Rattus norvegicus: one gene and its partner. The protein of the gene in region 1 purifies or fractionates together with the protein of each later gene. This does not show direct contact. Links are inferred from orthologs where the notes say so. Each region holds a gene or a part of one and is shown in the gene's direction. Other genes may lie near its edges.

Region 1 (8,897 bases):
ACCGCTAGTTTTGATTACTAGAGTATGAAGCCCGGCTCCGACTGTCGCTGGAGGATCAGCTATAGCACCGTTGACGAGCTGGCTGGAGGGTCCTTCTGCACTGAGCAGTATAGGAACTGTAAGGGGTGGAGGAGAAAGAAGCCTGGGCAGCAGGAGGTGGGAGCCACAGTGGGTGGCACCTCCCAAGGCCTCAGATATGGGGACCCCTTTAGGTCACTTAAGTGCTACAGCTCTATGTGGGCTGAGGGCGTGAGATCCCTCTGCCTGTGACAGCACCCAGTGTTACAGCTGTGGGCCTGGGTGTCCTTGAAGACTTGATAGTGCTGTGGGACTCTTCTGGTGACCAGAGCCTGTATTTCCTACTCTGTGGCTACTGATAGCCTGTTCTTCCTCATTCTCAGCCTTCCCTCCCGCTGCCCCCACCCTGCTGGCCACCCCTAACTGGCAGGTGCTGTGACTACAGCTGTCGAGTGGCTGGTAGGTTGGCTTTCAAAGGCCCCGAGTGCTGCTTCCTGGGGTGTCCCTGCTGCTTGCTGCTCCTTTTCAGCCAATTACCCTGTCAGGCTGTACAACTAGACCTGGGTAAGCAACGATCACTAGAAGGAAACTTCAGTGGGTCAACTGTTGCCATAGCAGGGAAGGCGGCATGGGAGTGTTTTTCGGCTGACACACCATGTGGGTCTGACCATCTTCCTTACATCACCCTCTCTAGACCACAATGGGAAGGAAGGCCCTTCTGGGGTAGGAGAAAATAAGAGTTTACTCAAGCACCATAATAATCTGGTAGAATGCCTTCTAAGGTGTGTGTGTGTGTGTGTGTGTGTGTGTGTGTGTGTGTGTGTGTGTGGTGTGTGGACTGTAAAATACCATCCTCTAGTCCACACACAGCTGTTGTAATCGCAACTGACAGCAGCTGTGGATGCCCGCCTGAGGTCTGCCCAAGAGTTGGCTCAAACGCAGTGAGGCAGGGGTGGCATAGGGACTCGAGGGTTCCTACCCTCACTTTGGACCTATTTGTCACTGACATATTCAAGAAGAGGGGGCTGTTGTCTTTGTGTACTCACAGGTGGCCCCACCAGGCTCCAGTGCATAGGTCCAACTCAATAGTCAAAAGAAAGTCCTGGTTAAACTAAATGGTCAGGAAAATAAAATCGGCATGAATCCGAGAAAGGGACCATAAGGAAGAGCTGGGTTGACACGGGTGGGAGAGAATAATCATAAACTGTCAAAAGGCAAAATCGATTAAAAAAAAAAAAAAAAAAAAAAGACCTGAGGCCAGAGAAATGACTCAGAAGTTAACAGCACTGGCTGCTCGGGTTGGATTCCCGGCGCCCACATGGTGGCTTTAAATCATCTGTAACTCCAGACGAACACCAAACAGCTCCTTGCCTTGAACTTTCTGCTTGCTGTGCTATTTTAGCCCTCCCGTGTTCAAACACCGTGATGCACACCCCACCCGACCTGCCGCTTGAATCCAATCCTGGCGTACAATTTTGGGGCAATAAAGCTACGGTCTTAAAAACCATTACTTAAAATGTTTTAAACATCATGTATAGGTGCGGGTGTCTGCATATGCACATGAGTGCAGGGGTGTGTGCAGAGGCCAGAGCTTCCATTAGGGCGGAAGCTCTCACCAGGGTGCTGGGAACTGACCAGAACTCAGGTCCTCTGGAAACAGCAAGTGCTGCTAACCAGTGAGCCATCTCTTCAGCCCTCAAGTTTATTTTAAAATGGGGGCGGGGGGGAGCCCCACGTTTTCCTTGTTGTATGTACTGGCTGATTTTGTGTGTCAACTTGACAGAAGGTAAGAGCCATCGGAGAGAAAGGAGCTTCAGTTGAGGAAATGCCGTGAAATTCGGCTAGAGGGCATTTTCTCAACTAGTTGATCAATGGGGAAGGCCTAGCTCACTTTGGGTGGTGGGTGCCATCCTTGGTGGTCCTGTGTTCTATAAGAAAGCAGGCCGAGCAAGCCATGTGAATCGAGCCAGTAAGCATCATCCCCCCCTCCTGGTTCTAGTCTTGCTTGAGTTCCTGACTTCCTCCAATGATGGACTATGAAGGGGAGATGGAAACCAAATAAACCCTTTCCTTCCCAGCTTGCTTTTTGGTCATGGTGTTTTCGTTGCAGCAAGAGAAACCCTGAGACACTGTAGAAATCGAGATCTTGTCTGTGAACACTAAGCACTGTACCCGACAGTTTTTAATCTAGCTATATTGAATAAAGTTGGTAAAATGGCTGTATGTGTTCACGAAGCTGGCAGCAGGGCACAGAGGTGCACCCGAATGAGGAAGATGGAAAGTAACGGGAAAGGGGTTGCTGGGGACACAACTCTGATTCGTGAAGCCCTGACTTTATATTCCCAAACCACAGGAGGGATGGTGGTGAGAACGTAATAAAAATGTGAAAACTTCATAGAACATGCTTGGGGGGGCTAATATCCCATGAGTTCGAGGTCAGCCTGGGCTGAATAAAGCCCGTCTCAAAGGTAGCAGCGTTCAGAAGGGGCAGATTAAACACTGGCTGGCTCGCACGGAACATGTCTGCAGGAGTTTGCTGCAGAGGAACAGGGCGGAGCATCGCTAGCCGCTACCACGGGCCGGGCTCGGGCCTTGTCTGGGTCACCCGGCCTGAAGGGCTTTGGAGTTGTTAATTTCTCACGGACTCGCTTGGGCGAGCAGAGTGGCACGGGGCAAGAGTCACATTAGCTTAACCGGGCCACCAGCCCACCGTAAACGGCCAATAACCGCTTTGGGGGGTCAGGCCTCGGCCCACCATCTTTGTGCCGCCCGAGGGGAGCTGACGCCAGGTGCGGGCCGGCCCCAACAGTCAAGTTTTCAAAAAGCCCGCGCGGGGCCCCGGGCAGATCCGTTGGGAACGGCCAGAATTCCCGCGAGGGCGCGCGAGGACGAGGCGTGCGGGCGACAGCCAGCTCCGCACAGGAGGCGCCGGGCCAGCGCTCAAGAGGTGCGCGCCCGTCCCGCAGCGGCGGAAAACGGAAGTGTGATCCAGGTTCTGTCGCTGATTGGCTATCCGGACACGTCCCTCAAGGGGCTGGCGCGAACGCCACTGAGGAGTTGGGCCTGGGGATCCGGCAAAGGGAGGGAGGGAAGGCTGCGGGAACAGCCGCGCGGCTGACAGGAAACGCTCCGCGGACGCGCGCGGAGGGCTTTGGCGGGCCGTCTCCGGGGTGCTGCAGCACCGCGTCGAGGGCGAGCGTGGAGGCGGAAGAAGCGGCAGACGCCAAGGAGCCCGAGGCCGGGACGGAAACCGCGGAGGGCGGGGAGGCCGCGGCCTAGAGCGGCGCTGCGGCGCGGTAGGCGGGACTAAGGCGAGCGCGGAGGCGATTGGCTGGCGGCCCGGCGTCGCTGGTGACGCACCGCGCGGGGAGGGTGCGCGCGCCTTCAGCGGCCTCTTTGTGTGGTGTCCTGATAGGGGAGCGGAGGTGGCGGCCGCGGCGGCCCTGGTAGGGTTCCAGCGTCCTCGGCTCGCCCTCGGGCCGGCAGCGCGCCCCTTCCCTCCCCCTCCCGCCCCTTCCCCGCCGGCGGCGGCGGCGGCCGGGCCCGGGCTCTGACGAGGCCTCGGCGACCGCTTAACGGCGACGGCGACGCCGCGGAGCGCGCAGGGCGGGGGCAGGGCCCGGGCGTCCGACATGGAGAACTCGCAGCTGTGCAAGCTGTTCATCGGCGGCCTGAACGTGCAGACGAGTGAGTCGGGGCTGCGCGGCCACTTCGAGGCCTTCGGGACGCTGACGGACTGCGTGGTGGTGGTGAACCCCCAGACGAAGCGCTCCCGCTGCTTCGGCTTCGTGACCTACTCGAACGTGGAGGAGGCGGACGCCGCCATGGCCGCGTCGCCGCACGCGGTGGACGGCAACACGGTGGAGCTGAAGCGCGCCGTGTCGCGCGAGGATTCGGCGCGGCCCGGGGCCCACGCCAAGGTGAAGAAGCTGTTCGTGGGCGGCCTCAAGGGCGACGTGGCGGAGGGCGACCTGATCGAGCACTTCTCGCAGTTCGGCGCCGTGGAGAAGGCGGAGATCATCGCCGACAAGCAGTCCGGCAAGAAGCGCGGCTTCGGCTTCGTCTACTTCCAGAGCCACGACGCGGCCGACAAGGCGGCGGTGGTCAAGTTCCACCCGATCCAGGGCCACCGCGTGGAGGTGAAGAAGGCGGTGCCCAAGGAGGATATCCACGCGGGCGGCGGGGGCGCGCGGGCGGCCCGGGGCGGGCGCGGCGGCGGCCGGGGCCGCGGCGGCGGCGGGGGAGGCGGCGGCGGCCGAGACCAGAACGGGCTGGCCAAGGGCGGCGGCGGCGGCTACAACAGCTACGGCGGCTACGGGGGCTACGGCGCCTACGGGGGCGGCGGCGGCGGCGGCTCGTACGGCGGCAGCGACTACGGCAACGGCTTCGGCGGCTTCGGCAGCTACAGCCAGCACCAGTCCTCGTACGGGCCGATGAAGAGCGGCGGAGGCGGAGGCGGAGGCGGCGGCAGCTGGGGCGGCCGCAGCAACAGTGGACCGTACAGAGGCGGCTACGGCGGCGGCGGCGGCGGCGGCTACGGCGGAGGCTCGTTCTAGAAGCCGGGTTCCGGATGCCAGCGGCGGCGGCGGCAGGCGCGGCCTCCCTCGCCCTCCGCGCCCACCCCAGGTGCCCCCGGGAGAGCCGCTCACCCCGGGGGGCGCGACCCCCGCTTGCCTGCCCGTCCCCGTCCCCCCGAAGGTGGACTCGGCCCCACACACACATTTTTGTGTTACAGTCATTGATGGACTCTATTTTTTTATTATTACTTGGACCTTGGTCGTTTTTATACTAGCAAGATGTCTCGTTTTAATTTGTGTTTTTTGGGGGGGCGGCGGGCGGGGGGCTGAACTTGCTGATTCTGTAGCAAAACCGGGGTGGGGGTTGGGTGGGAGGGTAGTTTACTTTGTTGTAAGGACTTGATACCTGGCTACAGCGTTTTCTATGAAACCTACTTGGATCCCATGCCTGAAATTTGGAAGCATATGTACAAAAATCATTTTTACGTTTTATTTTTAATAAATCATTGTGTTTGACCGTACATGTCTAACATTTTTTTTCTAGGATCCACTCCTTACCGTTTTAAAGGAAATTTTTGTTAGGTTTTGATGTGTACTTTGAGAAGCTTCAAGGAGGTCTTGTGGGTTCTTTTTTTTTTCTCCTTCCTGTTTGCCCAGTTAGTGATGTGTTGAATTTAACCTTTTACAGACAAAACGTTTTGAAGTGGTGGATGTGGCTGTTCAGTTTCTGTGCATCCATCTCTGTAATAAGCGGTTTGCTTATCATCTTGACATGGTTGGTTCTTCTTTCTCTGAGAATTTACTCAAAATATGTACTGTGTAGTTTTAAAAGAAACAGTTTGTGTTTAAAGCATGTGTTCTCATTCATATAAACTGTTTAAAACTTTTTTAGATGACCTAGTTTCACCCTTATTGGTTTGTCTGTAATGAATGGTTACAAATAAGGGTTCTATTTTACCCTAACACTAAATGAGTTTTTTTAAGATGTATTTTCAGAGCAGGTTTAAAAAAAACCGTTTCTTCCCTAAGTCTGAACTTTGTCCTTTTAAGTCCAACCGATGTAGCACCATCTGCTGGTAGAGTGGCAGTATAGCTGCAAGAAAGTTGGTTTAAAAAAACCAATTTCATCAGATTTAGCAGTTTGCCACCAGAAGTCTGCAGACTTGAAAGGTCCGCATTTACTTGTAGCTGAGACGGGCTTCCCAGGAGTGTAGTTAACAGCCCGTGATCAGTCGCTTTTCTACGTGAGATTTGAATATGTAAACTGCTATGCATAGCTTGGGCAGTAGCCCCAAACTGCTCTGATAGCTACTGAAGCAGCTGTGTGTACTGGGGTTTTAGGTGCAAGTTGTAAAACAAAATATCTGTATTCTGCTTGGTTAACGTGTATTTGTAGCCCTTCATGCAATAGAATTCAAGTTGTTGTTTATAAAAAAAAAAACAAACACTGATAATAGGAGAAAATTGCCTTCCTGAATAGAAACATAGAATAGCAACGTTTATGGATATCACAAATAAAGACTTCAATTCTTACATGATCGAGTGAGAGTATGTATAACCTGGTGGGTGGGTTCAGAGTACCAGTTAACTTGCTGGGTTTAATGGTATGGTAAGAATCCGGCTCAGTTTGAAAGCCCAAAGCCTTATAGTAGCAAGCTTTTGGGAAGATTTTTTTTTTTCACATTTTAAAATATTTTATGTGGGAACCTCCACATTTTAAGTTTTCTATAATTTCTAAGATCAGACTCTAGCCAAAATACTGTAATTACTAAGGCTCTTACAAAGGTAGGAGAGGGCCAACGTTAGGCTGGTTTGCCCAGTGCAGTGAACCATAGCTGATGCTCGGTCCAAGAATTTAACAGTCGACAGTGTAGGGGTGTGTTTGCACATGAAAGTAAGAATTGCATGAACTTCTTTTTCACCATTCTTCCCTTAAATTCCTGCTTGAAACTACACTTGAAGATCTAATGCAGGCTCTTTGGGATCCCTCTAGGGTACAGGAAAAGATCTAAAACTCACGTTAACCTCTGATTTAAGGTTATATTTGATGAAAAAACTGAGCTGTTAGGTATTGTGGAAGATTGTCACATGTGAGGTGGTCAGTTTTTCAGTAAGTGACTTGTAAAAAGGTAGTGGATGACTTAAAATTCCATAAGATCCCACAGTTCCAGGTCTATTAACAGATCAGTGTTGGCGGTGAAAGGAAGATGGTAATGTTTTTGTAGGCACTTCCTGTGTTCCCCTAGCCAGCCTTTGGCACGTAGCGTGTTTTAAATGGGTAGACAACTGTGATGTCTTGCTTCACCGGTGAGAACTTGGAGGACAGGAGGTGGTGATAAGAGTCCTTTGAGTATAGTTTGTCATGCCTGAATGTTTGCTGATTTTTCCAGAGTGTAAGTTGTAAGGTAATTATTAGTTAATAGTGTGGAAGATCCTTACATTGGTTTGTGTGTGAGCGTGTGCCTTTCACCCAGCACCTGTGGAGGCAGGAGGACGCTTTGGAGTCCACTCTCCTGTTGGCTGGGTCTGGGGATCTGAGTTCCTTTACCAGCTGAGCCATATTTGATGGACATCTTTAAAGATGGTAATAGGATGCCTAGCGAGCGCAAGGCCCTGGGTTCGGTCCCCAGCTCTGAAGAAAAAAAAAAAAAAAGGTGGCCAAAAAAAAGATGGTAATAGGATCTTTTTAAGTGTACTTTTGAAAAAAGGGGAATGTGTGTGCGAGTGCAGGTTCCTGCAGAGCTCAGAGTCTGGAGCTGGACTATAGGTTGCCAGATGTGGGGGGGGGGGGGGGTCCTCTTCAAAAGCTGAGCCATCTCCAGACCCCAGAATTCCAAATCTTTAGAGTTTAAAAGTGATTTAGGTCATAAAGTGCTATCAAGTATGACTTGAATGTGCACATGCTTAAATCCTAATGTGGATTCTCGTTTTTAGGAAAGAGACAGAGGTTGGCTGAGAATTTGGAATTTAGGATTCCTTCCCTCAAGACCACAGGTCTGTGGATTTGTAGACCTTGTTGCTTACAGTTTTGGTTTGGATCACTTGTATTTCAGGTTGCTGTCTACGTGTCTGCTAATTGGAAGTGTACTTGGGAGTGTGGGTGGGTTCGAGCACTGCCTGCCTGTAGCTAGTATGTGGGTGTGACCTGGGTAACATCCACACTTGAAAGTTTCTTCCAATTCCAGCGTCAGTGTGATAGGGAAAATCTCTCAGCCTTATTTTGGCCTGGTTTGTCCCCCATCCCGATACTTTGATTTCTTGTCGTATATCCTTAGCTGGCTTGAAACTTGCCATGTAGACCACACCGCCCTGAATTCTTTGGCATACCTAGTGCTAGGATTACAGATAGTTGCTCTTTGGGTTCTTTGGAAGGACCAGCCACTGCCCGGCTAAGTGGGGCTGTTTTCTGCTTGCAGTCCCATTGCAGATGGGCTTGATGTCCTCTCTTCCTGCTCTCTTAAAAGTGGAAGATGGCATTTTCCCCCCTATAAAAAGTTCCTTGAAAGCCTAAGAAGTAGTTAGGAGTTCGCGTGTTATTTCTGATTTCAGTCCGCAGACATCCCGTGAAGAGGCCCTGTTACCTCTGTTGTACCGGGCTGCAGATCCCTAACGTAAGCAGTCTGCCTTCAGATGCTAGACTGCTCAGCTGCTCTTCGGTGTTACACGGTGAGTTCTGAGGTCATAGTGGTAAACACTGCTGTGTCCTACTTAAAAGGGCACACTATTCCAGTGTGTTAATAGATGTTAGCATTCGCCTTTGCTCGGATTGTAAATGATTTACCAAATATTTATATTATGGAGCTTTGTCGAGAGGATGGAGAACAGATTGGGACGTGCTGGCTGACGTTCGTCCAGGGTCAGAGGGGTGGGTTTCTAGATTGAGAGAACTTTGGTTTGCTGTTTAACCTGTTAAGTCAACTTACTTCCTGGACTTTGTAATTGTTTAGATCTCTTAGGACTTGATAGGATTTTCAAATCACTCTCGGTAAATATTTGCTAAGTCTTTGAGGGAAACCCTTAGATTCACTCTTACTACACACTCAACAAATGTTACTACTAAGCCAGCCTTTTTCTCTTAAGACACCCATAGTTTTGTTTGGATGGTGAGGATTTAAACAATTATATGAGTGTCCCGGCGTTTGTGTTGGGCCTGTAGACAGCAGTGACTGTGTCCCAGGGAAATGTGACAGGTGCTTGAACTGCTTTTACTATCTGGGTTAGGTAGACAGAGCCACAGAGGACATCCCCACTGCTTACTTGAATGCAAAGCATGGTAGATTGGGTTCCTTATGTCATCGTCCCTTTTGAATACGAGGCCACAGAGACCTTTAAAAAGCCAGCCATTTAAATTGTATTGTTTTT
Region 2 (8,797 bases), on another chromosome or scaffold:
AATGTATATTTAACTGCATAAACATTTAGAGATTTTAACACATGGCTCTGTGAAATTATAGATTGCCTTTATTAATGGATAACTCATATATTCCCAAGACTTAGTAGACTCAGGAATCTGGGGCATCCTGATGCCATAGGTCTTGCCTCTAAGAAAATGGGGCTTTCAGAGAAACAAGCATTTATTCACTATAACTTTAAATACTTTATGCTTCTATACAACAAAGCTCTTGCTTATATTTATTTTTTGAGACAAGATCTCACTTTGTAGACCAACCTGCCTCTGCTTCCTGTAGTATTGATCAAAGATGTATGCCACTGCCCAACACTTTTGTTTTTGAGCTAGTTTAACTAGACATTGCTGTCTTTTAACTAATAAATTGGAATGACTTCAAATTTACAGCTATCCTGCTGATCATGCCTTCTAGTCCTGGAAGTAAAGGGATGCTTTACCATACTCAACACAGATTTAATTTTTTTTAATTTTTTTAAATTTTTTTCTCCCTCCCACCTTTTTTTTTTTTTTTTAAACAGTATGTTTCTTGCAGGAATTCACCTCTTTGTGATTACTAGAGTTGAACATGTGCATTACTGCTCCTGGCTGCTTTCTTACTCCTTTAAGATGATTCTTAAAACTTTTCTTAAGGTTGACTTTAACTCACTGATAGTCCAGGCTGGTTTTGAATTCGTGATTGTTGTCTAGTGTCCCAAGTGATGGGACTGCTGTGCTCAGGTAAGAAAGCTTTCTAAGTGCACAGGTGTCCTTGCTGCTCAAAACTGAAAAAGAGTGGGGCAAGAAAAAAATTGTAAAGATAAAACCAGAAATAGTAGAATTAGCAGAAATAAAAATGACTTCATAAAATATATCTAGTTTTGGAAAGATGGCTTAGTCCAGGTTTGGTTCCTAGCATCCATGTGGTGGGTCACAACCTTCTATGATCAGCTCCAGGGGATCTGATATGTCTAGTCTTTTAAGGGTTCTCACACTTAACATGCACACACCCTTTTTATACATAGTTCAAAAGCTAAATTTTTGTGAAGTCAAATTTATATTTAACACCATGGTTATTTAACTTTCAGAATTTTAAAATCTCATTGGATAATGAGTACAGTGGTAGTGTTTGTTTAGTATGTGCCAGACCCTTAAATTTTTATATCCAGCACCAACCAGTTTTTAATAAAAGTTAATGCTGGGTATAGTGGCTTGTGCATATAATATAAAGTAATACAAACAGCATGAGGGTGGAAAGATCTCTTAGCAGTTAAGATCATTCACTGACTGACTGTTCTTCCAGAGGTGTCCTGAGTTCAATTTCCAGCAACCACATGGTGGCTCATAACCATCTGTAATGAGATCTGGTGCCCTCTTCTTCTGGTATATAGGTGTACATGCAGGCAGAATGCTGTATACATAATAAATCTTGGGGGGGGAGGATATATTGTACATCCTTTAAAAAATGTTCAACCGGTTGTGGTGGCACACACTAGTAAGATTTGCTGAAGGAGGCAGAGGCAGGAGGATCACGAGTTCGAAGCCAGCCTGGGCTACACATTTGGGCTGGACAGATGGCTCAGTGGATCAGAGCACTGACTGCTCTTCCAGAGGTCTTGAGTTCAAATCCCAGCAACCACATGGTGTCTTATAGCCATCTGTAATGAGATCTGATGCCCTCTTCTGGTGTGTCTGAAGATAGCGGCAATGTACTTTTTTTTTTTGGTTCTTTTTTTCGGAGCTGGGGACCGAACCCAGGGCCTTGGGCTTCCTAGGCAAGCGCTCTACCACTGAGCTAAATCCCCAACCCCGGCAATCTACTCTTATACATAAAATAAATAAATAAATCTTTAAAAACAATGTTCGGATACTAAGGAAACAAACCAATAGTGAAAGCCAGGGTGTAGCATGCACTTAGGATACCAGCAAGTGGGGGTGGGTTCCAGTATCATTCTTTAGTTATGTGAAACTTGGTTTTCACACTAAACCAGAGATGAAAAAAATACTATGTGGAAGGATGTTTAATATATGGGCATCTTTGAGTAATCTTGAGTCTTGTTATTCTGCAAATAAAAATTAAAAAAGCCCAAGTACTGACATTTGACGTTTTCTCTTGTAGATTGTACCACCCCCACCCATACTTAGTGACACATCTGATAGCACAGCAAGTACTGGAGAAGGCTTACCACCACCCATGGGAGGACCACTTCCTCCTCATCTGGCTCTCAAAGCAGGTAAGGGACTTGAATATGTCTGCTTGACTGAGAATAACACAATCATGTTTGATCATCCATCTCACCATTTGTCAATAAACATGTTTATTAGATCATCCCACTTAAGCAGCCACTGTTTGAGTTTATTATAAGAGATTTAAGTTTTATAGGTGTTTACCTGCAATACTTCTGGGCACTAAGTGGGTTAAAGAATTTTGTGAGTTGTCTTTTTTTGTGTTTATGTTCCTGTGTGTCAGATTTAGGGCTTTGCATATATAAGATACCCTGTGGTATCTAATATGTAACCTTTTGTTTTTTCCTACTTGTAATAGGATTTGTAGATTCTAGCCCTGCTGAAATTTTTATTTGGATTAGAGTAAGATTTTGACTTACTAATACTGAAACAATTTACAGCATCTATCCCATTGCTTTGTCTAGTAAAAGTTGAGCAATAACACAAAGCTGTAATAATAACCTGTCACGGGGTTGGGGATTTAGCTCAGTGGTAGAGCGCTTGCCTAGGAAGCGCAAGGCCCTGGGTTCGGTCCCTAGCTCCAAAAAAAAGAACCAAAAAAAAAAAAAAACCTGTCACTATGGAGTTGATGCATATTGGTGTTTGCCTGCAGTACCTGGGGAGGCCACAAGGGGATACCACTCCCTACAATTGGTGCTAACCGGAACCTTCATGGCTACTGCATCTCAGTCCTCAGTGCTCTTAACTGCTGAACCATCTCTTGAGCACCCCACTCTAGTTTTACAAAGAGTCAAAACTTCTAGGGGCTACTAATTAATAGTCCTGGGATTAGCTTTCATTTCAGAATCTTTATTAGGTTTGGGGTTTTTGTTTCTATTTAGGCTGTAATTTGGAGAACGAACTTGAACTTTTAGATCCTTCTGTTTCTCTCTCCCCAAAACTGGGCTTCAGTCATGTTCATCACACGAGTGTTGTTATTCTGTGGTGAGGGTTAAACCCAGTGCTTGCTTGGTTTGTAAACGAGCATTGATTGTATTAACCGACCTTCATTCCCAGCATCTCCAAAGAACATTTTACTTTAAAAAAGATTTATTGGGCCAAACATGGTGGCATGGACCTTTAACTCTAGCACTTGGGAGGCAGAAGCAAATATCTCTTGAGTTCAAAGGTGTTCTGGTCTACATACCAGAGCTACAGCCAGAGCTACATAATATAGAGACAGACTAACCTCCCCTGCGTGTTTCCATATTCTTGTGTTTGAGGCCCCTTTATAGCCAGGGCAAAACCCATTCAGCATACAAACTCAGAATCAGGCTGATACCTTTGCCAGCTAGACATTTCCTAGCTGGATAATTTTGTCCTTAGTTTGTTATTCTGAATATAAAGACAACTAAGCGCCTTAAAAGTACATGTTAGTGCTGAGGAGAAAGAGACAACCAAGCATAAGGAGTTATGTTCTATACCCACCAGCATCCACAATGTGCAATCAGATGGGTCTGTGAGAAAGATGGCTGGCCGGCTAGGTACCTTAATGTATTTTACTGTTCTGTGAAGGAAAAAAAGTCCAGTGAAAGGACTTATTTATTCTGCTTCATAGTTCATGACAAGATTCAAGGTGACAGAAACTTGAAGCAGTTGGTCACCTTGCAGAGTGCAATGAATTTGTGCTGTTAACTGTTAGTTTCAGTTTCTGTTTTTACTGTCCAAGTAACGAAGCATTTATAGTGGACAGGTCTATCTTCTTTCTCTCTAACAGACCATACTACCAGGGGATTTGGAGTAAAGTTACCAGTTAACATTAACTATCAGACTAACCTACTTGTCTGTTTTGTGGAGATTATACTATGGCCTCCACATGCATAGACATAGACACACGCAAAGAAATAAGGCTGATCAGCATAGTTCTCATTAGTTTAGACGTCCTTCCAGATTATTGAAAACATGTATCCAAACATGGAGTGTCAAATTGTCATTAGGGATAATCTTTAAAATATGTAGATGTAGCTCCCCCACCCCCAAACTTGATAATTAAAAGAGCAATTTTTTTTTTAAGCAGAAAATAATTCTGGAGTTGAGTCTTCATCTGGCTATGGTTCTCCTGGACCCACCTGGGACCGAGGAGCCAACTTAAAGGATTACTACTCAAGAAAGGAAGAGCAAGAGGTGCAAGCGGTAAGCAGTCTCATGTAGTACATGCTTGAAAGTGGGATTACTTACACATTTTGAGACAATCTTGAATCCCAGTCTGGTCTTCATTCCAGTGGCCCTAGCTTAATAGCCTATTTTACTAGTTGTTAGATCTAGCCTGGTGTACATCTTGTAGTCTCAGCATTAGGGTCAGGAGAATGACTAGCTCAAGACCAGGCTGGACTATAGGGTTCTAAGAACATAGTGATGTCCTATCTCAAAAATACAGGCTCAGTGATAAAGTGGTTGTCTAGCCATGTTCAAACCCCTGGATCTCAGCACTACAAAAATGTAGTTTTATATTGAAAAAAGCTGTATGTTATTTAGTATTCCTTATGTACATATAAGTAGCGCAGCCAAATTTAATCATCATTGATTCTACAGACTCTAGAGTCAGAAGAAGTGGATTTAAATGCTGGGCTTCATGGAAACTGGACTTTGGAAAATGCTAAGGCTCGTCTGAACCAGTATTTCCAAAAAGAAAAAATCCAAGGAGAATATAAGTACACCCAAGTGGGTCCCGACCACAACAGGTTTGCTTGTTTCACTATTTTCCTTGTAAAAAATTAAGGTGATTTGACTTTGTTTACTAAGTGTTCCTCAGTTAATTCTGTGCAGCAGCAGTGAATTGTGAAAAGATATATAACTATAGTTTACCATAACTTTTGCTTAAGAATGTAATGCTATTCTATAAGAAGTCCTGCAAAAGGTCTGTTGCTGGACTTTGATGCCAGTTAATATCTACAGTGGTCGTTTGCTAGTTGTTGACTTAATTGGTCAGAGGTGGTGATTTTTTTCTCCCCAGTGTAGTTTTATTGGTGATAGCTTTAAATACTTAAATGGTTCTGCAGTGTTTTGTTGTCTTAGAAGTAGATTGTATGTATTACCTATACATCCAAATTTGACCTCGGTTTAATGTTGACAGCTCTTTTAAGAATCCTGTTACTTGAGTACTATGAAGTTAAAGGATCGCGAAGTTCTTATGTATGGTTTAAATAGAATGCCTTTTTTTCCTGTTAAGCTTATAAAACAATGTAAGGGAAGATAATGTGACCGTATGTTTCTCAGCCTGCTTGATGTTCTTCCTAAGAGCATTCCAGGGTGTAGTACTTATTACTCCCAGGAAGGCTCATACAGATTAGATTCTTCAGGGAGGCACTGCATTATTATTGGAAGAGAAAAGGAAGTGGTTCTGGAAAATAACGATTCGATTTGCTGTCTTTAATTATAAAAAATAAATTATCCAAAATAAATTTAAAACATTTTTCTGAAATTAAAGTGTTCTCCCTTGGGTGCAAGTAGCAACCCTAAAATTATCATTACCCAAAACAAAAAACAAATTGACAACATATTCAAAATGATGAGAGCATGGCTCCTCCTGCTTCCTACTGCTTTGTTCAGTCCTGAATTCTCAAATACTACATACTTAGTGTTATATTTTTAAGATCGTTCTCCATTTTGGTGTCATAATTTTAAAAACAAAACTCCAGGCTGTAAAAAGACACCATTTCCTTTAATGCTTTGTCTACAACTTACTGCACTTGGCAGCTCCTGGTGGTTTTTCTTTTTTTAAGAATAAGTGAAAGGCTGGAGCACAGGAGTGGAATGTTTGCATAGCATGCATGAGGCCTTGAGCTCAAATTTCCAACATCAATGTTACCACTACTACTATTATTTTGAATTGCTGCCCTCCCCCCAGAAAAAAACCACCAACATTTGATGTCAGTATCTTACTGATTTCTGATGTAAAACAAAGAATTCGGGACAAGACAATGTAAGAGGCAGACAGTTGGAGCTGGGACACATTGCTCCTGTATGTCCTTTATTGAAAGGCATAACAGACAGCAACACCAGAGGTCTGTGTTCATATACACATGTGCTGATGCTTAGGCTGAACTAAGCAATCACATGGGAAACTATTGTAAACTGATTTCTGGTGTTGCTGTTCCCCCCTAGGTGGAGGAGAATGAGATTGAGTGCTGACTTTAAGCCTGGCTGAGAAACATACTGTCATCGGTGTCATTAATGAAAGGGTGGATGTTGTTCCCCTGAAAGCCAGTGGCCTTTGACCCCCCTTGAAGCCCTTGTGCCTGAAGGTCAGTTGACAAAGAAGTTTAGGAAGGAACCTAACTTATCTTTTTCCTTAAGTTTCACCTAAACTTTTATTCACAGCACAAAGCCAAGTTTGAGTGTGCCCGAGCAGTAAAGGACCAGCATAAAACCCTAAAACCTATATTTACTCCTAGGGCCTGCTAGCAGTTTTAGCTATCTATAATGTGAAAATGACTTTTGTCCTCTAGGCCCTGATTTAAGTATCTTAAAAAAGTAGGCTAAATTTTTTTGTAACCAAGGACTTCTTCCAGCTTGAGATAATTTGAACTCTGCCACAGGAGCTACTGGTATATAGTGGTTGCATGTGTAAACTACCCTAATAAGTTGCAGTTGTAAATTAGTATATATACATAGATACTTTTGAGGAGTTTGGTGTTTTTCTTAGCTCTCCAAGATAAGCAATCTTCTTTCATTGAAAGCATTCTTATATTGAGACACGAGCCTTGGAGTAAAAATAAGTAAATCTATAATCTAAAACCATAACTTTTTTTTCATGAAAGAAAGCTCATCAGCTGCTTTATAACTAATGTCCTATATATTTGCAGTTTACATACTTTCTGTTCTAGGACTGGACAAAAATAAGTGTTCAAAATGGTTTTTGCTGTAATGTCTTATCTAATGCAGTTGGAAAACCCTCCCTGACTAGGGAGATAATGGAGTAATTTACAGTGGTCAATTCCTAACTTTGATTGTATGTGTTGTTACAGGAGCTTTATTGCAGAAATGACCATTTATATCAAGCAGTTGGGCAGAAGTAAGTGTAATTACTTTTTAAAAATACTCTTATTAAACATTTTTGCAGAAATATTTTTACACTGAAGGCTTGGGCTACTATGGTAGAACATGTAACAGTGTAGAAGTAGTTATAAAATTTTCCATGAAGACAATCTTGGCATTTACATAAGTTGAAAAAAATTAATGTGAAAGAATAGATTGAGTAACACATAGGGTTGGAGGAGTTATTAATACTGTCAAGTGAAGGAGGGGAAGGTGTTAGCAGGCCTAGGGAAAGTTGAGACAAAGAGGTGTACAGTGGATAGTCCTTTGTCCTAATAAGCAGCTGTCACAACCTGTGGTAACTAACTGGTCTAGATCTTGAAATATGCTGAAAAATCTATTGAGGTAGCAAGTTTTAGGTCTCAGTAGTACCTGAAATATTAATGTTAGAATATTACTAATTTTTTCACAGGTTTTATCTCCCAATTTGCATATGTAAAAGATTCTACAGTAATATTTTAGTGGTCAAATCATGAAGGATTCAAGTTTGGAGTTAAAATAGGAAAATGGAATTTAACACAAGTTGGATTGGGTAATAGCATTAAAGGCCTAAAGATAGCTGTTTAGCAGCATGAGAGTGCAGTCAAAGCTAGGCGTGGGTTTAAGTGCAAGTATGCACTGTATGGATCGCTAAGGTATAAGGAGGACAGCCCATAAACTCCAGTCTAGTCTGGGTTACGGACTGAAACCTTGTTTTTTTTTTTTTTTTTTTTAAAGATTTATTTATTTATTATATATAAGTACACTGTAGCTGTCTTCAGATACACCAGAAGAGGGCATCGGATCTCTTTACAGATGGTTGTGAGCCACCATGTGGTTGCTGGGAATTGAACTCATGACCTCTGAAATAGCAGTCCGGTGCTCTTAACCGCTGAGCCATCTCTCCAGCCCCTGAAACCTTGTTTTAAAAAACAAGATGCTGGGTGGTGGTGGAACAATCCTGTAATTCAGGAGGTGGAGGCAGAGGAGGGTGCCAGCCTAGTTTACAAAGTGAAATCTAAGACACCCTGCACTACGTAGAGGAAACCCTGTCTGGAGCAACAAAACAAACAGAAAACCCCCCAAAAGGTTTAAGGATAGTCTGAGAAAGCAAATAGGTGAGATGGATTTAGGAGATTAGTAGACTGATTACTTGAAGGCTATGGAGTTTGGTCCCCTGTACCACAAAACAAGCCGAGGTGCTTTGCCTATGATGAACAAGTTCTTGTGCTTTATATCAGTATAATGTGCAAACATTGTTCTTTTCATGTTGTGTCTCAATGGTAGTGAGTTCAGATTTTGTTGGCCCTGAATGTACATATTTTCTATGAAACAAACCAAAAAACAAAATTTTTAAGTATGAGGACTGGCGGCTTATACTTAGTTGGCAGTTATTTGCATAAATTTCTGGGGCCTGGGGTTGATTCCAAAGTATGTTATAAGCTAGGGAAGGAGGTACAGGCCTAGCCCTGGGAGATGATGCAGGAGAATCAGAAAAGTGTCCGGGCTGTGAGAGCAGCAATTCAGAATACTGTGAAATACTCCCTGTCTTAAAACAGCCACC

Evidence for each region.
Region 2: the proteins of Hnrnpa0 (region 1) and Dhx9 purify together in Homo sapiens (affinity purification with mass spectrometry; 3 studies listed by BioGRID and IntAct, with this or other methods). This does not show direct contact. The link is inferred for Rattus norvegicus from reciprocal best matches to the Homo sapiens genes HNRNPA0 and DHX9.

What each region holds. Positions count from the first base shown.
Region 1 is NC_086035.1:6,509,719-6,518,615, forward strand, and holds Hnrnpa0 (heterogeneous nuclear ribonucleoprotein A0), read left to right. Parts: upstream 1-3,410; 5' UTR 3,411-3,650; coding exon 3,651-4,574; 3' UTR 4,575-6,068; downstream 6,069-8,897. UniProt on the Homo sapiens protein: mRNA-binding component of ribonucleosomes. Specifically binds AU-rich element (ARE)-containing mRNAs. Involved in post-transcriptional regulation of cytokines mRNAs.
Region 2 is NC_086031.1:68,174,293-68,183,089, reverse strand, and holds part of Dhx9 (ATP-dependent RNA helicase A), read left to right. Parts: intron 1-2,110; coding exon 2,111-2,225; intron 2,226-4,231; coding exon 4,232-4,350; intron 4,351-4,749; coding exon 4,750-4,898; intron 4,899-6,321; exon of another isoform or gene 6,322-6,461; intron 6,462-7,184; coding exon 7,185-7,231; intron 7,232-8,797. UniProt on the Homo sapiens protein: Multifunctional ATP-dependent nucleic acid helicase that unwinds DNA and RNA in a 3' to 5' direction and that plays important roles in many processes, such as DNA replication, transcriptional activation, post-transcriptional RNA regulation, mRNA translation and RNA-mediated gene silencing.